4 linked regions of the Mus musculus genome follow. The protein of the gene in region 3 purifies or fractionates together with the protein of the main gene of each other region. This does not show direct contact. Links are inferred from orthologs where the notes say so. Each region holds a gene or a part of one and is shown on either strand. Other genes may lie near its edges.

Evidence for each region.
Region 1: the proteins of Sap30 (region 3) and Mta2 purify together in Homo sapiens (affinity purification with mass spectrometry; 3 studies listed by BioGRID, with this or other methods). This does not show direct contact. The link is inferred for Mus musculus from reciprocal best matches to the Homo sapiens genes SAP30 and MTA2.
Region 2: the proteins of Sap30 (region 3) and Sinhcaf purify together in Homo sapiens (affinity purification with mass spectrometry; 4 studies listed by BioGRID and IntAct, counting the BioPlex papers as one, with this or other methods). This does not show direct contact. The link is inferred for Mus musculus from reciprocal best matches to the Homo sapiens genes SAP30 and SINHCAF.
Region 4: the proteins of Sap30 (region 3) and Brms1 purify together in Homo sapiens (affinity purification with mass spectrometry; 3 studies listed by BioGRID and IntAct, with this or other methods). This does not show direct contact. The link is inferred for Mus musculus from reciprocal best matches to the Homo sapiens genes SAP30 and BRMS1.

What each region holds. Positions count from the first base shown.
Region 1 is NC_000085.6:8,943,524-8,949,023, reverse strand, and holds part of Mta2 (metastasis-associated protein MTA2), read right to left. Parts: coding exon 5,492-5,500; intron 5,012-5,491; coding exon 4,918-5,011; intron 3,269-4,917; coding exon 3,151-3,268; intron 3,019-3,150; coding exon 2,955-3,018; intron 2,758-2,954; coding exon 2,640-2,757; intron 2,377-2,639; coding exon 2,274-2,376; intron 1,988-2,273; coding exon 1,888-1,987; intron 1,773-1,887; coding exon 1,584-1,772; intron 1,500-1,583; coding exon 1,425-1,499; intron 1,298-1,424; coding exon 1,239-1,297; intron 1,000-1,238; coding exon 902-999; intron 768-901; coding exon 628-767; intron 74-627; coding exon 1-73. UniProt on the Homo sapiens protein: May function as a transcriptional coregulator. Acts as a component of the histone deacetylase NuRD complex which participates in the remodeling of chromatin.
Region 2 is NC_000072.6:148,942,936-148,948,929, forward strand, and holds the start of Sinhcaf (SIN3-HDAC complex-associated factor), read right to left. Parts: upstream 3,536-5,994; 5' UTR 3,357-3,535; exon of another isoform or gene 1,654-3,356; intron 1-1,653. UniProt on the Homo sapiens protein: Subunit of the Sin3 deacetylase complex (Sin3/HDAC), this subunit is important for the repression of genes encoding components of the TGF-beta signaling pathway.
Region 3 is NC_000074.6:57,480,821-57,485,479, forward strand, and holds the end of Sap30 (histone deacetylase complex subunit SAP30), read right to left. Parts: intron 4,321-4,659; coding exon 4,222-4,320; intron 2,231-4,221; coding exon 2,108-2,230; 3' UTR 1,882-2,107; downstream 1-1,881. UniProt on the Homo sapiens protein: Involved in the functional recruitment of the Sin3-histone deacetylase complex (HDAC) to a specific subset of N-CoR corepressor complexes. Capable of transcription repression by N-CoR.
Region 4 is NC_000085.6:5,038,728-5,044,776, reverse strand, and holds the start of Brms1 (breast cancer metastasis-suppressor 1 homolog), read right to left. Parts: upstream 3,415-6,049; 5' UTR 3,287-3,414; exon of another isoform or gene 3,166-3,286; intron 1-3,165. Other genes in the region: B4gat1 (beta-1,4-glucuronyltransferase 1), read right to left, coding at 4,279-4,470, 4,745-5,800. UniProt on the Homo sapiens protein: Transcriptional repressor. Down-regulates transcription activation by NF-kappa-B by promoting the deacetylation of RELA at 'Lys-310'. Promotes HDAC1 binding to promoter regions.

The sequences.
Region 1 (5,500 bases), on a different chromosome or scaffold from region 3:
GGTTAGCACTGGTTGTATAGGGGGAGAGACTTTGGGCTTCAGGTCTGGATAAATGACCTCTTGAGTGTGGCTCCTAGAGGAATGACATATGAAAAAGAGAAATCAACAGTGCAATTCTGTCCTCTGTCTCCTGCAGACAGCCAACTGTTTCTACCTGACCTCTTCAGTGAAACCCCGCCCAACCATCCTGGCTTCCCAATACTTAGCAGGTGCTCCTACGCATTTGAGTGTCTCCATGGAAGAAGAGGTCAAAGGTTTTCTGGCCTTTGCCTAAAGCACTCATAGGACCACTACTCTCCCCATCCCCACGTGTTCTTGCAGTTATTCTTTTTTGTTTGTTTGTTTTTTCGAGACAGGGTTTCTCTGTGTAGCCCTGGCTGTCCTGGAACTCACTTTGTAGACCAGGCTGGCCTCAAACTCAGAAATTCGCCTGCCTCTGCCTCCCGAGTGCTGGGATTAAAGGCGTGCGCCACCACGCCTGGCATCAGTGATTCTTTTCTATTTGTTGAGACAATATCTAAGTATGTAGCCCCAGCTAACCTGGAGCTTGCTTTGTATACCAGACTGGCCTCTAACTCACCCACCTGCCTCAGTCACCATGCCAAGTTCCCACCCACTGATTCTTACTGTGGTGCCCCGAGCAGCCCCTTCAAGTTGGGTAGGGGTCTTCAGTCCCCCGTATTTCTTCCAATAAATCCAACAGGAAGCACAAAGTCGGCACTGCATGTTAGGGGGTCCCCAGGCATACCACTGGGCAGACTGTGTGGCTACAAGAGTAGAGAGAGAAGGGAAATTTGCTGGCAGGAAATATGCCACCCAAGATCCTCAAATTCCCAGGACAGAGAATAAGCCACCCTAGGACCACCTATCCCCAGCAACCCTGTCCCCCCTTGGAACTCACTGTGGCAGCTCTCACAAGTCAGGCCCTTCTGGAATCCAGCCCCATTCATGCCAGGTTTTGAACCCACAGAAATGATCTGGTTAGGGTTTGGCTTGGTACTAATGAACGAAACAAGAGGAGAAGACAGAAGCTAGTTAAGAAAACAACCCACTTGTGTCTCTCTTACCACCACTTTACTTTCTATTTCCGACTCTCTGGAGTTCTGGGGATTAAGCCTACAGCCTTGTGCATACTAAGCCCATGCTTCTCACTGAGCTACAGCTTCTACAATTGCTTCTGCTTCCTGGTTACCCCCAATCATTAAGGAAGACACCATCTCCCTTTCTGCCACACTTACTAAGTGGGGATGTAGACCTGTTTCAGTTTGCTGTCTGCTTCAGCAGCTTTCAATCTTTTCTGTAAGAAGGAGAAAAACAGAAAGAAATTCAGAGCATCTCAGTACAAATTGAAATCAAACAAAAGAAACAGCAGAGAGGTAAGCAGATAGCCTCTGGTCCAGCCTCCCAGCCAGCCTGACCCATACCTGCTGAATATACCGGTCTGTGGTTTTCCACATGTAATAAAACTGGACTATGCTTGCAAGTGACTTCCAGGGTAGCTAAAAAGAACAGCAAACAGGATGAGATGGCATGTGATCCTAGCTCCATCGTCGTTCTCCCTCCTCCTAGTCCTGTTCACTTACAAAGTCCTGGCGGATATCATTGAAATCCTTCCCGTACTTCTCCAGAGCCTCTTCAAACAGCATGGCTTCAGAAGCAGACCATTCCTCCATCTCATCCCGACAGAGCACCGGGCCTCCCTGTGGTACTAGGGTTGACATAGCCTTGGCCAAGTCATAGCCATTCCTTTGCAAGGTATCCATGGCATGGAACTACCAAAAATATAGAACAAAGCTAAGGACTTGCTACTCTTTAAGCACCTTCTTCAGGACTCCCGCCCTCCTCTCCTGCCTCAACACGCCCAACTATCTATCAGCTGGCACTTACCAGAGTGATATCTCGGGACGCAGCAGCTGCACTCATGTGCAAGCTTGGCTGCCGAATTGAGCTGCTGCAGTCTAGGGCTCTCGCGAAGGTTCCCACAGCTCTAAAGAGAGATTGAGAAGTCAAGAAGGGTTCTCCCCTTCAAAATTCAAGCAGGTTCAGGAACTAATTAGAAAAAGAAAATGCCCAGGCCTAAAACAAAGCCCACTTTAAAAAAAAAAAAAAAGAAAGAAAGAAAGAGAGAGAGAGAGAGAGAGAGAGAGAGAGAGAAAGAAAGAAAGAAAGAAAGAAAGAAAGAAAGAAAGAAAGAAAGAAAGAAAGAAATTGGATGAGACGCAGAACTCAGTCCATTCCTCCCCAGCCCACCTTCCTGATCCACCCACCCTCACCGGGCCACCACGAGAAACTGATCAATCTGCCGGTCTGTGAGAGGGTTGTCTGGGTCCCAGACTTTCATCTCCATCTTCTGTTGGTTTCGATTATCTGATTCTCCTGAGGAAACAACAGAATCACCACGGAGGGAGAGAGGGAAATAACTCATAGTCACTCACAATGGCTCTTTTTCCTCTGCTCTGCTTGGAGTCTATCAGACCTCAGAACTCCCCTCCCAGCTGTGCCCACTTGTCTCTCTCATGTTCCTAAGTCTCACCCTGTCAGAGCCACAACACAACACCTAGCAGATTCCACACTGGTACCCCAAATCAAGCTATCAACAGAAACTTTCATGTTCAAGCACTTCTTGTTCTGTTGCTTACCCTCTGCCAAACGATCTGGGATCTCAGCTTGGAATTTGCAACCAACTCTGATCTCCCCTTGATCAGCCAGAAGTGTCTTCTGCACAGGATCAAACACCAGTGAGTAAAAAAAGCAGTCCTGAAGAGGAAGAGAGGAGGTTAGTGGGAAGGAATCTGCATGGACAGTAAGGTCTCTCCAGACACAGACACACACAGACACACAGACACACACACACACACACACACACGGCTGTGAGGTCCGTGGCCCCTTTACCACCTCACTTGCCTTTAGGGGCAACATTCTCTCACCTCCCTCTTATCCCAACAGCTCCTCACCTCCTTGTCTAGATACTGGTTTAAGATGTCTGTCTCGTTCAAGAGAGTCACGCTGCACTTCCCCCTAAGAAAAAGGACAAACCCAAAAGTCCTGGATGAGCAGCCCTCCTTACCTGCCATCTCCAATACACCACCCCCTTCTCTCCATCTTCTAAACAAGGGCACATAGACCACAGTGACCCTGATCGTCCTATACCTTATGTGGGTGGCTGGTAATGATTCAAACTGCCGAGAAAGAAAAAGCTCTCGGTGCTTCAGTTGATGTCTCTGCTGCTCGGAGACCCCTGGCTGTTTTGATTCCTCCTCAAACTCCCCTAGAATAGTGAGGAAAAACCAAGTCATAAACTAATTCAGAAACAGGTACCTTAGCCAGCTAGCTAGTCTGGTAAAGGAGAGCCTACCTCAGCTGCTGCCCAGCACTGCTTTCCTCGGGCAGCTCACTCTTATCCTACCAGCCCCCCCTTTCGGCCTTACACCTCAGTGTAGATGTTCCATCCTCTCTTTAATTCCGTCAAAGGAATTATCCCATCCTTATACTGTGAGAGTATAAGGATACCACAGAAATGCACCCAACCCTAGCTGCCAACACGCAGAAAGCACAAACAGAGCCATAATACAGTGTGACATCATATTTAGCTCTTTCTTGCACAACCAGTCCGAGGTCCTAAAATCCAGTTAAGAAGAAGTAAAAATAGCACACATGGTCGCTGTTTATTTACCAGCTCCTCTTCATACTTCAGGACTCCTTGCTGTGTCTGAAACATCACATGCAACCTAATGCTCCTTCTCTTTCTACTTGGCTAATAATAGTTTGTGGGCTTTCAAGAAGGGCAACTCTGAAACCAGTGCCAACACCTTCCTCACCAAGAGGCACCAAGAGGCCTGCACTGAAATCTCCGTAGAAACAGTTAACCTGGCTAAGTGCCAACCAAAGTAGAAGACAGAAACCTCAGGCACATGCTCATCGGTGCATTGTTCCCCTGAAAAATGGGGGTACAGATTTGGGGTGGGGGTGTCCGTGTCTCTCTGTGCTCTAGGAAAACCCAGAGGTAGGGCAAAAAGAACCACACCCCTACCCCTTCTGATTGGATAAGGCCAAGGTCAGCCCCTGCCAGATGGAGCCGGAAACCCCAAAGGGCCAGGAAACTTGGTAGGCCCAGTTCATTAACCCTTTCATGACTGCAGCCTGAAAAAGAATCTAGGAGGGAAAAAGGGAGTTAAAAGAAAACTAAGTGATGCGGGTAGTGCTGGCACACGCCTTTAATCCCAGCACCAGGGAGGCAGAGGCAGGTAGATTTCTATGTTCAAGGCCAGCCTGATTTACAGAGTGAGTTCCAGGACAGCCAGGGCTACACAGAGAAACCCTGACAAAGAAAAAAAAAAAAAAAAAAGGAAAGAAAAAAGATAAAACTAAGTGAAAAAAAATTACAATATAAAGATCATAGAGAAAATGCAGACAAAGCAAAAATAAGTAAAAATGACACTAACTGGAATGGAGAGGAAAAATGGTGAAGGCAGGGAAGTCCAAGAGAACTGCTCCTAGCTTATCATCTCTATTAATGTTTTGGCATCGCCTCCAGACTACAGCATAAGCCTCTCTGTTATGCAGACTTCTCAAAACAGTATCTTCCTCTTCACCTTGGCCATCACTCACTAACCACTGTCCCAAAGTACCCAAAATGTCCCCGAGTGCCTGCTTCTCTAAAGCTCTTTTCATTTCCTATCTAAATATCTCTCCACTCACACACATAAGCCTCATTTTGGCTTTCCTTATCATGGTCTGCCCGCCCTGCTTCCAACCCCAACGTGTAACAACAGGCCTCCCTCCGCAGACCAGGCACTTCCCACCCCCCCCCAAACTCACACCCTCCCTTGGGCATGCTGCCAGGGGAAACACCTGCAGGAACATGTCTAGTCCTCAGATCCTGGGGAAGGGAGATGGGTAAGGAATGAAGACACTCACGAGCATTACTGTCAGCCAAGCTGTTGAGGCTACTAGAAATATCCCTTCGCCGGAAAAGACAGACAACCTTTGCTTCCACATTTCCATTTGCAGTCTAAAGGAGGGAGAAAAACCGAGAAGGAAAATTGGCCATTTGAAAGTGGAGATGCATGCCGGGTGTGGTGGTGCACGCCTTTAATCCCAGTACTCGGGAGGCAGAGGCAGACGGATTTCTGAGTTCAAGGCCAGCCTGGTCTACAAAATGAGTTCCAGGACAGCCAGGGCTACACAGAGAAACCCTGTCTCAAAACAAAACAAAACAACAACAACAACAAAAGAAAGTGGAGGTGCTGGGGGGAGGTGGGGGAGTGGAAGTGCGCAGAGTCAAAAGCAATATCTCCTTAAGGGTCTAAGTAGAAGAGCTAGAAAAACTTAGCAGTAAAGACTTAATACTCAAAGATAATTTCAGAACCAATGAAAAGGGTCTCCATGAGTTTAAGATCAGCCTGGTCTACACAGCAAGTTCCAGGCAGCCAAGGTTACATAATAGAGAGACCCTGTATCATTAAAAAAAAAAAAAACCAACTCCACTCACCTTATTGAG
Region 2 (5,994 bases), on a different chromosome or scaffold from region 3:
AATGCCAACACACATTAATTAATCTTCAGAGAGAGAAAGAGAGATCAAAACAAGAGAAAAATATTTTCCCATTTAAAAGTTTATTTTAGTTGGCTGGCAGTGGCATGGGCCTTTAATCCCAAGCATTTGGAAGGCAGAGGCAGAGGCAGGTGGATCTCCAAATTCAAGACCAGTCTGGTCTAAAAAGTGATTTGTAGGACAACCAAGGCTACAATGGAACCCCTGTCTTGGGGAGGGGGGTGGCATTTTATACCTGTGGAGGCAGCTCAGTGGTACAACACTTATCTAACAGGTGCTATATCATGGGGTTCAAAACAAGCATAGCAAGTTTTGAGGGTGGGCATTTAAAACAGGGCTGGCAAGATGACTCAGCCAATGAAGCCTGACCACCTACCTGAATTTGATCCCTAAATTCATGTGGTTGAGGTGACTATCCCCAATAGTCACCTGGCCTCATATATGAAGATACACACACACAGATGTTCTTTAAAATCTCCAGCCACCCACAAAAATAAAAGAAGGCAGTGAAGACCTTGCTTTTCTTTCTCTCTTAACTCATTCAAATCTCTCTTAGAAACATCATTTGATAATAACAGAATCATTTAGTTCTACATGTGTGTATAGACTTTCCTAGGAAGCTGAAGTCTTGCAGTAAGTAGTCTACTTAAAAACAAAACAATGTTTGCAAAGTACCTCATGTTATTTTCACATGTCCCTGGAGTCACCCAAAGGAAAGCCAAGGTTGTAATATCCAAGGTTTTTAATTTTCTTGACACACTCTCTATTCACTTCAAAAATTATTATTTCCCAGTCAAGGCCACATCTAGATGAAAACAAGCTAACTGAAACACAGGATTAATTGTGAAAGTCGCAACAGATATGGTGTTGCTGGGCTGGATGTCTAGACTGCAAGCAAACCCCAAATACCAAAGAAGCATCCATGTGTCAAACGAGCATAATTTTTGAGCTATGCCTGGAGCCACATACCAAAAAGTTAGCTTGAAAAAAGTGTAAGAGGGTAAGTAGAAGGTCAGTCCCAGTTCCCAGGAATTGTGAAACTAGCAAGGGCTCCCTACACTGGCAACTTCTCCCAGCATCCTTTATCTCGGAAAGGCCCTACTCCCCAGATGCAGCAGTTCTCAAGGTTATCTAAGATTTATCTGAGTCCTGCATACTTTAAGGTCAAAACACAAAACATCCTCAGAATACTTTAAATGCATTTATGCTTTGCGGGGACTCAAAAAACGAACCCCAGACTTTCGCGTTCAGTTTTGCAGCACAAAAACCATTAAAATGATTTTCAAGTCTGACAAACTTCAGTTCAAAAGCAGATGTTTTCCGGACACTGCTAGAAACAAGTTTTACGTCCACCTCTCACTAAAAAAGTTGCCGGATCCTTCTTTAGAAAGCATTAAGAGAAGACCAAGAGCCTACTTGAAACGAACTCCTAACATGGAGGGGGAGGGGGGACACGGTGCACGTCTGGCTCGTAGTCATTCTTCACCTGCAATAAGGAAAGGTGAGAAGAAAAATAACAAGAGGCGGACTGGGGTGCTGGTTACCAGAACTGCTCCGTCTTAAAAGCCGCCCAACCCAACCTGCCCTGCGCCTCGCCGGTCGCCCCACGTGTAAACACACAAAGGCTGCACGCACCCCCAGTTCCTCAGTCTCCACTTCCAAGAGGGGCAAGAGCCGGCGCCCCGAAACTTCCCCGCGTGTAGTCGGAGGTCCTGGGTAGGGCGCGGAGCTCCACTCCTGGAGGGAGCCCAGCGCTCCGGGGTCCCCGGGCACCACGCGCCATCCGCCGCCCTCACCTGCGCTGGAACAACGGCCCGCGCCCCGCCGGCGCCGCCCGAAGGCCGCGCCTCTGCTCCCGGGCCGCTCCGCACGCTCGGCCTGACGTAATTCAAACATGGCAACAGTTCCACTTCAAAGGCGGATGCACGGACCTCCCAGACGCGGCCTCCCGTGCCTCGGAGCCCCGGCCACGCGTGCGTCCCGCCGAGCAGCGCTCCGTCGCTCCGCATGGGTGACCCGCAGGCCGAGGCGCCCCCACGGACACAGCCTCGCTGAGCCGCCGCTGAAGTTTCCGAGAGGACCTAAGGGACAAAAGCCGCCCCGCGCCCCGCCCGGCCCGCGCCGCTCGGGCACACGCGGCCCTTTGTTGTCCGGCGGCATCGGCGACGTCGGGGCGACCCGGACCCGCGCCCGGGGACCCACGCGAGCTCGGGTATCCTGAGCCACTGGTCCCTGGGGCCAAACTTTTGCGGAGTCCCGGATGAGAAACGCCCAGAGGTCCCCGCCGCCGTGCATATGCTGCGAGTTGGCGACTTTCGCTGTGCTTTGGAAACTGGCAAGACGCCATCACCAGGAAATCACATTGTCCTGCTCCCGACAGCCCCGACGGCGACCGCAGCCCGCGGCTCACTCCGAGCTGGACACTGAGATGTAGCACGGTCGCGGCCCTAAGCACGTGGCTTGTCAGGTGAAGCACACACAACAAAAAGGGAAAAAAAAAAAAAAAAAAAGAGTTGGGTGCCTCAAGCAGCGGACCGCGCCGCCGCCTTCATCCGCACTGTTTGGTGCCGCGGGCCACGGCCACCCCTCCCGTGTCGCCCGCACCCACGCTACAGGTGACCAGACGGACAGCGAACTTTGGGCTGCAGAGACCACTCGGCACCGGCCGAGTGCAAAGACCGCGTGCTGCGCGCTCATTGTCGCAGCCGCGTCCCTGCGGACTTCTCCAACAACGCCACGCCGCGTGCGTCGCGCCATCCCGGCGCTGGCCCTCACCAGCTGCCTTCAGCCTGTGTGGCCGCCGGCTCCAGGAACTGGCAAGTTAGTTTCCGAGCTCCGGCTTTGTTGTTCACCCGCGTGCAAACACCGTCGCGAGCGCCGGGGTAGCGCAACACGCGGGTGCACGCGGAGCCCAAGCCCCTGGCCAGAGCAGAGCCCACACGGGATCTGCGACCCCGACCCTGCTCTCCGGGTCTGCAGGAAACACTACGACCTAGAAAAGTCATTGTCACTTTCAGCGTGGATGCAAGTCCGCCGCAGCTCGTTCGTTTCCACGCTGCACTCACTTTCCCCACACCCTGACTTTCGGTTTACCTCAAATATCCTCCTCAATTAAGAAGCGCATCTCCAACGCCTCTGTACAAAAGAATCTGGAGTCCGGAGAGCACGAGGGCAGCGCTCCCCGCAATGCCATCTCCAAGACAAAACTTCCTGTGTGTTTGTGTATGGGAAGGACGGAGGAGGCGGGGGAGGTAAAGGGAGGAAAGAAAAAAAAAAAATCACAGAAAACAAAACCTCGGAGACAGTTTTGCACCGATGTCCGGACTAGAATCACTCACCTTCCACGCGCAGCAGCGTCCCCACGGTGCAAACTGCACCAGGCCAACCTCCTGCAAGCACTCCCTCCGCCAGCGCCGAGTCCAGAAAGATTGTCTCCAGCAGTTCTTCAGTTGCTACCGCGAACGGAGGTATAGATTCCGCTTTCCCTCTGCGCAGGCGCGGCTCCCGGGACCAAATTCTCTTGAATCGAGCTGATTTGCATACGGGCGCGTGCGCGCCGCGGGCTGGGCGGGGAGAGGGCAGGGCGTCCGCGCGCGTTCCCGCGGCCTCTATTGTCCTTTTAAGGGGAGAAGCGGCGAGGCGCGGGAAACGCGGCGGCCCGCGGGGACGGGGGCGGGTCCTGCCTACTCCGCAACGTCACGTAAACAAACGCCCTCCCCAGCCCCCGGGGGAAAAGGAGGCGACGCGGGGGCGTGGCAGGACGCGAAAGGTGTAAAGGTGAGCGTTGTCCTCACCGAATGGCACCCCTTAGGAAGCTACTGAGCTTGGAAAGTTCTGGAAGCTGCTTTTGCAGCATTCGCGCACCTATGCCCAGTTTCTGGCTTGAGGTGGCAGAGAAAGTTGTCGTGGAACCACTCAGTTTGTACTTGTTCCTGCCTTTCCTAAACTCTGTTTGAAGGTGAGCTTTACATTTTGTCTTTCAGGGCCTGCCTGGCTTGTGAGACTGCTCAACTGGTACTTTCAAGTCTGATCACCTGAAGGCAATAACCAACTTCTGCAAATTCGCCCCGCGCACCACATGCACACACAAATTAAAATTTCAATTCTCCAACAGAGTTTTCGTTCTTTGGGGCTTTGATGATAAATTGTTTAATAAAGTCGCATTTTGAAATGGTCCATTCAGTAATTCCGTCTTGTCCCTCTCAAACATGACCCAACCCATAACTGAGTGGTTTTGCTTTGCTCACTTGAACTGAAGTTTTCAAGCCTCTGCGAATTTCATGGTGGTAATTACCGTGGGAATGGTGCCACTTTCTGAAAACACACAAATCCTCCAGCCGTGAAGAGCTCCTCTGCCCAGAAAAACCACTTGTGAGGGGAGAAAGTGGAAGCAAAATACACACTATTCCTTGTGGAATATACGATAATCGAACATCAAAATGTTTCTAAAGAAAACCTAAAAGGGAGGTGATTGTAGAAGAAAGGGAGTAATCTAGAGAAAACAAAGAATAGGGAGGTTCCAGACAATGAGGAGGGAGGAAAAAGGAGGAAGACGCTTAAGTAACTTTTCAGATGAAAAAGTAAGAAATGAAAATATAATTGTGATACTCCTTAAGCCCAGCGACCCATAACACCTGGTTCAGTGATCCTGGGAGGATAGGTAGGAAAGAGAATGTTTTTTCACCAAAACTTGATACTGGTCCTTTGCTGCAAAGTATGGAAACCAACTATAAAAACAAACAAAAAAAAAAAAGACAAGATTCACTGCTTTTGCTGTATGCAGATTCAAACAAATATTTCTGAAATGCTACTTTAATTCAATAGCCAATTCCTAAAACACAGTTTAAACCTACTTGTGAAGACCTCAACGTTTTTTTTTTTTAAAGTTCTGTAACACTCTTCCTGTAAAGGAGTAAAATAAATAAACCTGACAACTGTCACTAAAATACAACTCTTAAAGGCAAAGATTTTTCCCTTATGTTTGTATTCAGGCACCTAAAACAATGCTCACCACATGATGGATTCTTAGTAACTGCTTATAAAATATACTTGAATTTTTAAATTTTCCTATTGGTTTATTGCAAGTTAAAATACCTTACAGTTTTTGCATTTGACCTAAAAGGAGTTTGGGGGCTTATAGTGAACTTTAATTGACATCTTTGTCCTTAGGTAATAAAATTTTACAGCTTTAAGAATTTTTTTTCCGGGCTGGTGAGATGGCTCAGTGGGTAAGAGCACCCGACTGCTCTTCCGAAGGTCCGAAGTTCAAATCCCAGCAACCACATGGTGGCTCACAACCATCCCTAATGAGATCTGACTCCCTCTTCTGGAGGGTCTGAAGACAGCTACTGTGTACTTACATATAATAAATAAATAAATCTTAAAAAAAAAAAAAAAGTTTAAAAAAAAAAAAAAAAAAAAAAAAAAAAAAAAAAAAAAGAATTTTTTTTCCAGCCAGCCTTGGTGGCACACGCCTTTAATCCCAGCACTCAGGGAGGCAGAGGCAGGCAGATTTCTGAGTTCGAGGCCAGCCTGGTCTAAAAAAGTGAGTTCCAGGACAGCCAGGGCTATACAGAGAAACCCTGTCTCAAAAAAACCAAAAAAAAAACAAAAAACAAAAAACAAAAACTAAAGACTTTATAACCTCACACAAAACAATTACACTATTTTGCTACTTAAGTTACTATAATGTGCAACTAGCAAGGAATCAAAGCAAGACAAATAATTTGACACTATTAGGTACAGTATTGTTTACATCATAGGAAATGCCTGCATTCTCCCCAAACCACTGCTGTCAAGTAAAGATAATACTTTAGTGTAGGTATAATGGTACACACTTGGAGTTCTAGCACTCTAGAGGCTGAGGCAGATGGATCTCTGTGAGTTTAAAGCCAGCCTGGTCTACAAAGCAAGTTCCAGTCCAGCCAGCCAAGACTACATAGTGATATCCTATCTCAAAAATAAGATAAGAAGCAC
Region 3 (4,659 bases):
TTAATATATACAAAGACATTCCATCAGTTCTGTGACTCTGGAGAACCCTAAGACAGGCACAGAGCAGCACTCACGGGTCACTGTTTTTCTTGTTTCTTTGTTTTGGTTTGGTTTGGTTTTTCAAGACAGGATTTACTCCTCCTCCATTTCCTTCAGAAAAGGGCAGGCCTTCCAGGGATATCAACTGAATGCAGCATAAGATGTAAAAAGACTAGGCACAAACCCTTCTATCAGGACTGCTAAGGCAGCCCACGAGGAGGAAAAGGATCGAAAGAGCAGGGTCCCACTACTATATAGCTCTGGCTGTCCTAGAATTCACTACCTCATCTAGGCTGCCTCCGCCTCCCAAGGGCTGAGATGAAAGGTGTGTGTCACCACACCTGACCTGTACTTTCCTAATTAAAGCCATGCTACTGGATATGAAGTGGGCATGTGTTGTTTTGACACAGCAAAGAAAAATAGAAAACAAAACATCTTGTCCCAGAGGTTTCTGCGACACTGCAATAAGCCTTCCACGATGCCTAGAATCAAGGCTTCCACTTCACCAATGTTCTAATGACATTATAAGTGGTGCTAAGAACCAAACACCAGCTGCTTTATTTTCTGGTCAAGAATATAACCAGAACCTTAGTAGACTCCCCTCCTTAACGAAGCAGTACTGCAGCTGTGTTCCTCTGCTGGAGTCCTTTGGCAGCGGCTAGAGGTAATCTTCAGCATTACATCTCAGAGCTACTGGCACTTACAGATCAATGTCATGAGTGCCGCTGTTCACCTTGCTACAACACAGGACAGCTTCCTACAGCCAAGACGTCACGGGTTCAAACCTTCACCTTGAAGAAGTCTGAGCTACATTGCTGTCTTACCCATTTCCAGCCTGAAGTTTGCAAAGCATCCTTAGGACATTTTCCTGGAGCTGCTTTCATTTTTGACGTGACAAGCTAAGACCCTGATGTGTGATGCTAAGCTGTTAGCAAAGCAATATAATTCCAAGAGAAAAAGACACTACAAATAAAGCACTGATGGAATGAAGCCCAGGTAAATATAAAGCAATACCAACCCTTAAACAATGAGTTCATTATACACCCTGACTTCTCCAACCTCAGACAAGTTATGGTTTCATTTTGAGACAAGGTTTGCTATGTAGCGTGGTTGGCCCCTAACTTGTGCTCCCCCTGCCTCAGCCTCCAGGATGCTGGGATTATAAACAATCACAACACACCAGTTTTATTACCATCGGTTTGGATGTGCGAAGCCAACAGCAGAGTGTGAGTTCATTTCTATGTTTATATCACATCAGTCTGAAGAAGTAATTAACTCCAGTCCTCATGGCCACTTTCAGCAAGCACCATGCTTGACTTTGCTAGGAAGTTGGGGTGTATGTGTTTGGAAAAAGAAGGGCACAAAACCAATTCTTTGTTTCTGCATAGGTCTCCAAGGAAGAATACCAATACATAAGGGGAAATTTAAAAGTGGTTGAAAAAAATCAATGGAAGTCTAATTTTCAAATTTGCTAACATACATCACAAAGCACTTTACAAATAATGCTAGCCTGGTGGCGGTGGTGCATGCCTCTAACCCCAGCATTCAGGAGGCAGAGGCAGGAGGATCTCTGAGTGTGAGGCCAATCTGGTGTGCAGAGTGAATTCCAGGGCATCCAGGGTTACACGGAGAAACAAAACAAAACAAAAACAAGAATGCTTAATTGCAAATCAAATCCACCTAGGGAAGGTGAGGGGGTCATGTCTGTCATTCCTGCTTTACCTTTAATTACTTGGAATTTGTAAGAAAAGCTTACAAAATGACCTTTATCTGAAATCTTAATACCAGTCCCAAAAAGTTTAACACAAAAACAAAGTTTCATAAAATAAACAGGCTGAAGCAGCTATAATAGTAATAACCTTTATTTAAAATATGTGTAATCTAGGAAGCTCAGTTTATGAGTTTCCAACTAATTATTAGAATCAAAAATGACAACAACATTAAAAAAAAAAAAAAAGTCAAAGTAAATCCTCGGTAGAAAAAATACACAAGAACATTTCTACATCTGAAAACCAGTAAACATTCTTTCCAGGCAGACATCTATGGGCTAGTGTGAACAGCATCTCTCCTAGTGAACACCACTGTCGGCCTTGAGATCCGATTTGTTCTTGTCGTTCCTCACTGAGTAGATGAAACATGTTAAGGTGTCTTTTTCGTTCACTGGAATAGACTTAAAGTGGCAACCAACTATCTACAAATTAAAAAAAATGGACAAATTAAAGGTTAGATGTAGCAGATGCTGTGAGCTGAGTAAGATACAACTTTGCCAAAGTGCTGTGTGACCACAAGATACTTTTAAAGATTAATCTGTCTTAACAAAATATTAACAAGCTCCAAAGCACATAAAAACAAGATATTATAAACAAAAGACAGCCTGACTTCAAAGGATCCGTTAGTCTCCACAATTAATACACTCTTTGAGTATTTTACCCCCTTTGGTCTACTTAATTAATGTGCACTTGTTATAAGTATTTTCCTTTTAAACTTTAGTTTGCAAACTACATATTCTTAAACATTAAATATTAATGAAATAAAACAAAAAAACTAATGTCCATCATATGAGGGAGGGCTTAGACTGTATTCATAGAAAAAGAGTAATATAAGGAAAAAAAATTCTTGGTAACAAACTGTACCATAAATACCATTGGTACAACTGATATTAACTCTTAAGTTTCTTGTAAATTTTTTATGAATAAAATTTAAGAATGGAAACCTCAAGGAGCTAGAAGGATGTTGGACTGTTTTCCTGTCTTTTACTGCACAGTTCTAACATGTACATCAGAATAAACAGATAAGAAACTGAGCTGCTAATACTACGCATGCTCAGACTCAAGACTGCCTTTTTCTAGAATCCACTGAACTACAACTGGTTTATAAGACCTGATTTTAAGAGCTTGAGATTTAGCCGGGCAGTGGTGTCGCACACTTTTAATCCCAGCACTTGGGAGGCAGAGGCAGGTGGGTTTCTGAGTTAGAGGCCAGCCTGGTCTACAAAGTGAGTTCCAGGACAGTCAGGGCTAAACAGAAAAAGCCTGTCTTGGAAAACAAAACAAAATAAAACAAAACAAAAAAAGAGCTTGAGATTTGAGTTCTATATTTAAATACAACTTTGTATCAATTCTTGGCTATTTGTTATAGAATAGGGATAATTACACTAGTGTCTATTATATTTTCATTATAGTAGGGAATGTCTATATATATGTACTGTGCAGCAGAAAAAGGATGATAGCTTTGAAATAAATTTAAAGAAAAATAGTTTTGTTGCCTAGGCAAGAAATATAGAAGAAAATTTGGCTAGTTAGCATACTGAATTTTAATGTTATAGAGCTTTCTAAAAAAATTCTAACTCATATTTATCATTTATTTATACACATTGGAAATGTAGGCTAACTACTAATGTCATGCTGAAGAATATAAGAACACTCACATAAATATATATGTGTTGATGCATACATACATATTTTGATCTGTCTACTCAGTGGAAATGTTTGCTTTAGATATAAAGTATAATTATTTAAATCTGTATTTTAAAAGTTCACAGATTTTTGTGGCTTTATTACTTCAACACACACACAAAACTAGCTTCCAAAACATACCAAAGGAACTGAAGTCCCATACCAAGCAAACTTTAACTTTAACATAAAGCCTTATTTTTGTTCTTTCTCTTGATGTAAAGAAAGTATCCTTTACTTAAAAACAACTACTAACAAAGGCAAGTGTATCTCAAAGTAAAATTAGAAAGCAAGGGAAATCCTGTTTCAGGGCTCACCTGCAGAAACTTTGAAAATTACATTCTAACAAATACTTGTAAGCTTATTTATTTTCCATCCCTCAATGGAAATATTCCATTTATATTCCAATCCACATGTATAGTCCATCCCTTTAAAACAAGATTCTAGAACAATGATTAAAAAATTCTCATTGCTTACTCTGAAAAATCAACATTAAAAGACACTGTATATACTCTGAATGTAATCCACTGAGCACTCACTGGAGAGCTTTCCTAGGTGGCAGATAGATGTTTCTAAACAACTACATTCCACAATACACCTATTAACTTTTACTTTACTACATGCAATATACTATTTAATATACTACATTCATCTATTTCATCATCACTTAATGATACCTTGTTGGTGTGAACAGGATTGTTTAAACAGTATAAAGCTTATTTATATATACCTCAACAAGTTGTGCTTTATTTAGACCTGGTCTGGTTGGAAGCTTGAAGTGTCTTTTGTATCTTCTAAGTGTATTTACTTGTAATTGGTACAAATCAACCTAGAAAAAAAAAATAGATGAGTTAGTTCACTCTGTTGAAAAGATATCATTGATCTGTATTATGACACTTCACACAATGACTTCATTTACACACTCAGACCTGTACTTTATTAAACAGTTCCATCTTTGGGGGATACATATTGTAAACTTCCGGAGAAACAAAAGAGGAAGTTGTATGTCAAGAGCTGTAAGAATGTCGTCTGAGATTTAATATTAGTATAAATACATCTTCACTGACTGTATATAACTTTTGAGATTTTTCAGATGCTTTAAACAGTTAAAGAAGAGCTCAAATATTTACAGAATGGTGTTGGGATTGCCAGCATGCTTATGATTTAC
Region 4 (6,049 bases), on a different chromosome or scaffold from region 3:
GGAAGACCAGCCAGTGCTCTTATTGCTGAACCATTTCTCTAGGAACACCAACGTCCACTAGAAAAACTTTTGATACTGGGGATTAAACAGATTCTTTTTTGTTTGGTTGGTTTTTGTTGTTGTTTTGTTTTTGGTTTTTTTTTTTTCTCCAAGACAGGGTTTTTCTGTGTAGCCCTGGCTGGCCTGAAATTCCTCTGCAGACCAGGCTGGCCTCGACTCACAGAGATCTGCCTGCCTCTGCCTCTGGAATGCTGGGGTTAGAGGAATGCATCATTACTGCTCAGCTAAACTCAGATTCTTTTTTTTTTCCCCCTTCGAGACAGGGTTTCTCTGTATAGCCCTGGCTGTCCTGGAACTCACTCTGTAGACCAGGCTGGCCTTGAACTCAGAAATTTGCCTGCCTCTGCCTCCCGAGTAAACTCAGATTCTTAAGCATGCTGGGAAAGCCAGCATTTAGCGATGCTCACAGCCTTTTTTGAGACTTGGTCTCACTAAGTTGTCCAAGCTGCAACAGGATTACAGCCTTGCCTCTCTCCACTCAGATAAATCCCCTTCTTCATAAATGGCCCTGACTCAGGTTTTTATTTTGTTTTGGTGAAGGACTAAGGATTGAACTCAGATTCCCATAAATGCTGAGCCCCAACTACCACTGAGCAATATCCTAAGCCCCTAGCACTCCTAAGGACGTGAACAGGAAGCACCTTCCTCTGTGGAAGTTCAGATGCGGAAGCTCAGGGTTTTCCTGAGGAAAAACAGGAGGGGCTGGAGAGGCGGCTCAGCAGGTAAGAGGACACTGACTGCTCTTCCGGAGGCCCTGAGTTCAATTCCCAGCAATCACATGGTAGCTCACAACCATCTGTAATGGGATCCAATGCCCTCTTCTGGTGTGTCTGAAGACAGCTACAGTGTTCTCATTTACATAAAATAAACAAATCTTTTAAAAAAAGGAAAAGAAGGCCGGGCGTGGTGGCGCACGCCTTTAATCCCAGCACAGGCAGAGGCAGGCGGATTTCTGAGTTCGAGGTGTTTCTAGAATTCAATTCTAGGTCTCAATTCCCAGTACTGGAGAGAAAAAAAAAACTAAAAAGCAGAGAGAGCCTGATGAGGTTCATATACATAATCCACACGCTGACGCAGGAGGCCATTCTGGGTTAGACAGCGAAGCTCTGTCTTAAAAAGACACAAAAGCAGTATGTCTGGGGGTACAGGTCAGTGGTAGATTGCTGTCTGAAGAGGCACCTAGACTAGATCTCTCTGGAAAAAACAAACACAAATAAAAAAATAAAGCCAAGTGAGGTGGTACAGGCCTGTTATCTTAGCATTCAGGAGGCAGGGGGATTACTACAAATTCAAGCCCAGCCTGATATACAGTTAGTTTCAGGCTAGCAATAGCTGGTGAGGCTGTGTCAAATCCAAATGAGTAGGTAAAAGAATGAATGCAGAAATATGAAACAGCCCCGTTTAGTTAATTTTCTGTAGTTCTCTGGGCCTTGCGCACACTTGCTATTCTGACTTTCACCTCCTCCTCTTTCAGTGTTTGGATACCCAGCACTCACACTAAAACCACTGCGGCAGAATTACGAATCAATTTCCTTGTAGCAAACACCAACATTTGCCAGTGCTTGCCTTAGGTAACCTTTCAGAAACAGTGAACACTAAGCCCCTCCCCTACCTTTCTTCCTACTTATCCAGTATTTACTAAGCACCTAAAGTGTGCCAGGCACCAACAGTCACCGTGGACTGTGGCAGATGCTACAGTATAGCTATGACAGCCTTTGGCCTCGAGGAAATGACAAATTTCTGGGAGAAACGCAAAGAAGCAGACCTTTATAATGGTGTGAAGAGAGTCAAATTAAGGTGTTATGGGAGGTGTCTACACAGGAGCTGGAGCTTGCTGCTACAGTGACAGCTTCCAGAGGGAGACAGACTAGGTGAGGACCAGGCCGCCTGAGATGGAACATTCCAGGCAGAGTGAAAAACAAGTACAAAGACCTAGAAGTGAGAAAAGGGACCAGGGACACAGGCATGTGAACTTCCACTAGACCCAGGCTCCTCTAGCTACATACGGCAAGTTATTTAGGCTTTGTGCAGTCTGACTTTTCAGGCGGAACTGTGAGAAGGGGCCTCTGTTGGAATTCCCAAGGTCAACAAAGGAGGCAGGAGGAGAAACCTCTGCAGAACAGATTGAAAATCCAAGAGTTAGGGTGGAAGGTATTTTCAGAAGGAAGGAGACAACGAGAGATTGATACTGCCAGGCCCCCAGAGAGAATAGGTCATCTTGGATGTAGATGCTTCTAGTTCACACTGGTGTGATTTCTACATCTCTGGTTGCTGCTCTGTAAGTCTTTCCCATGGGGAAGGCATAACTCCTTCCCCCAGGAAGTTTTTTTTTGTTTTGTTTTTTTCGAGACAGGGTTTCTCTGTGTAGCCCTGGCTGTCCTGGAACTCACTCTGTAGACCAGGCTGGCCTCGAACTCAGAAATCTGCCTGCCTCTGCCTCCCTAGTGCTGGGATTAAAGGTTTCTTTGTTTTTTATCTCATATTCTCCCAGTCTCATGTCCGACCACCCAGTGAAATGTGGGTGTTTCATCAGGACAGGGCAGCAGGCTGTCCTACTCGCCCAGTGCAGTGCCAGCTCACTTGATGACTGGGAATTTCTAAACCCAAATTAAACAACATAAACTTTTGCAGTATAGAAACTGGCTTTTCCTTCTTGGCAACCCTACTTGGAGTAACGCTCCTTCACACCCATGCAAGTAATTATAGCGCCGGACCTGCAGGAGAGTTTAGTAGCATTTCCTCCTGCTCTGAAAATCCAGATCTCCAAAACAGCCTCACTGTTCCCCTTTTCACGCCTCAGACCCTCCACACTGGCAATTCCTTTTCACCGTTGTATATACTCTTTCTAAGACGCAGGATGAATTCAAGGATCTCCTTCCTCCAGCTGACTCTGATCCTGACTTCGTTAAATGAAGTCACAACCAATCGTCCCTCCTTAACCCGGGTACAAATAGGGGATATACCATTGCTGAGGGTTGTAGGGAGTGGAAGAGGCACACGGTAAACGCGCGGTGTATAAGCACCTCCACAGCAAACCTCCAGGGAAAGCAGACCCCTCCCTACAGACACAGAGGACAAACTCTGCGGCGCAAGGAACTATCCCACCTCGATCCACCCTCGGAACCGCGGGCTCCTCTCAGGCCAGCGCGCGAGTCGGGCCGGTTAAGTCTCTGCTTTAGCTCCGATCCGGAAAGCCCAACCCAGCGCCGGGCGTGGCCATACGCACCGCAGACACTGGGGCCTCCGGCCTCACGTCCAGGACTCCCGGAGAGCTGTCCGACCCAGGGTGTGAACGCCGCCGCCGTTGATCTCCGGAACAGTGCTGCGCAGGATTCTCTTTCTCCAGGAGGTGTCGACGCTTCCGTGTGCGTCATCAGGAGGCGCCCATTTGTGGCGCTTACAATGGAACCACTGGTGTCCAGGCATGCCGGGATACGGCGGACGGGTCTCCATAGCAACTGGCCCCCAGTAACCCAGGCCTTCAGCCTGTCCTAGCATTGTGGTCGGTGTCCTTGGGTCCACCGCCGTCTAACACGGTGCTCCGGCCCACCACCCCTCGGCTTAGGAGAGTAACAGAGCCAGCTGTGGGTGTGACATTCGTTTATTTACATAATGTCATCCGAAGGCAAATGAGCAGCCCAACCTACTGGAGGGCACAGATCTGGGACTTTAACCTTTATCTCTTTCCTCCTTCAGGGATCTCGGAGGGCGGAGGGCGAAGGCATGAGAGAACGGGAAACGTTCTTAGCACTACATTCTACGTTTTCATCTTTCTTTCCAAAAGCCTCATTTTATTAAACACTCAAGCTTCCCACCTCTAGCCCATTCAAACTTTTTGCTCTGCCGCTATCCACCCAACATGGTTAATAGTAACAATATCATAATAACACTGTAGCAATATTAATAATACTTCACATTTGTACGAAGTTTACAGGATGTTTACACATACAGCGTCTCATCTGAGCCAACAGTTCTGTGAGGTAGGTATTTTCACCTCCCTTTTTACAGACGGCGTAACGGAGGCTCAGAGAAGTAATAGTATTTGCTCAAGGCCACACAGCTAGTTAGTGGTAAAGCTGAGACTTGACTCCCAGCACCCCATAGTCAAGTCCAGTGTTCCAAACCCATAGCTACCTCTGTAAAGTGGAGGCATGTTTCTTACCCCAGTCAGGCCTGGAGCCAGATACTGACAATTCTCAGACCATGGAAGACAAGGACTCAGCATCGGTGGGGAGAGTTGGGGTACCTAGCCTTCAACTCCTGTTTGAACTGGCGGTAAAGGATCTTATTGCGCTGGTTTTCAGCCTCCTTTTGGGGATGGAACTTCAATGCCTCCTTGAATCCCTTATGAACCAGAAAACCTTCGTTCAGCACCTCAAAATTAAACCCTGCCACGTGCAGCTCACAAGCCTGGAAAAGGGGCGGGGGGGGGGGAGGGAGAGATAGAGGAGGGGAGAGGGAAGAGAGGGAGAGAGACAGGGAGAGGTCACAGTGATTTAATCACAATAACTTAATGATATCCCCAGGGCCCACATGATCATCCCTAAAGTTCCACTCCACTGTCCTCAATTCTCCATCATCCAACCACTTTCTTCTTGCTTCACTGCCTCCTTTCCACCAATGGCCACTTCACCCCTGACACGCCTCCAGTCTTAGTCCTACATGCCCTCTCCCTTTTAAGTACCTGGCTGATTCGATTGAAACCATACTGCCGAAAGCGTTCGTCAAATGTGGGCACCTTTCCTCCAGCCACATAAAATGGTTCCCAGGGGTCCCTCCAGGGCACCACGTAGGCAGGTCTCAGCAAGCTCTCCTCTGGCAGGTTGACCCAGCGGGAGTAGTTGGTGGGCGCATGGCAAGGCGTGCACAGCCCATAATAGAAGGGCCGGACTTCGCCCACCTGATAGAGCTGCACCAGCTCGTTCTTGTTCATCGGCATTCGGCGGGACCGGCGGATTTCAAATGCAGGCACCACCAGGGCTGTGCCATCCCAGTGATTGCTCTGATCCAACATTTCCCTCAGGCCTCTCCACAGCCCTTCGCTGGGCACCATGTCCACATCAATCACCAGGGCGTAGTTGGCCTCTTCCCGAGCCAGATTCCTTAACAGGTTATTGGGATAGGAGGTGTTGGTCCCTAGTGCATAATTAATCCCGGGCTGGGCCACCCTGGCTAGCTTGTCAAAGACCTCTTGGCAGGACCGCAGCAGGGCAAACTCTCCAGGTTCTCGGGGGTCGGGCACAGCAGCCTCATAGCGCGAGGGGCACACGAGGTGCATGGCGACCCTGGCGCGCATCTCGGGGCAGTGGCTACTCAGCGCGTAGGCCAGCACCGTGGCCAGCTGCGCCTCCTCTTTGGTGGCCGCGAACACTGAAACGGACAGCGGACCCTCCCAGCGCTCCAGAAGTCCGGACAGGTGTAGTAGGTTGTCCACACTGGCATGCGTAGCTAAGATGACATCGTTGGGGTCCATGGTGGTCTTCAATAGACCCCTGTAGACGCGATAATCGCCGCTGGCATCTAGAACGCCTCCGGAGGCCAGTGCGGTGCGGAGTTGAGACTTTACCTGGTCTACGGATCGCGGAGACGGCGGGAAGAACTCGAAATACTGTTCCTGCTCCTCCTGGCCGTGCAGTCCAGAGAGCAGCGATAGGTAGAGCAGCTGCAGCATTGCCACCAACATGAGCGCGGCCAGCAGCAGCTGGTAGAAGGCGCATCGGATGGCGTAGGACATTTGCATGGCTCTCGGGGATCCCGGCACGAAGCAGGGACCACCGGGCCGTAGCCTCTGCCAGCCACCGCAAGCCCGGATTTACCGCAGCCTCCCGAGCGCAGCCGAGGCCAGCCGAGGCCAGCCGAGCCCTACGCGCAGCTCCTCCCACCATCCGCTCGCCTCCATGGAGGCGCGTGCCAGCTCGCCCTCTGTGAGAGAGGAGGAGCTACTGCAGCAGTGGTTCCTCGGCGCGCGCTTTGCAAACGCTGAACCTAG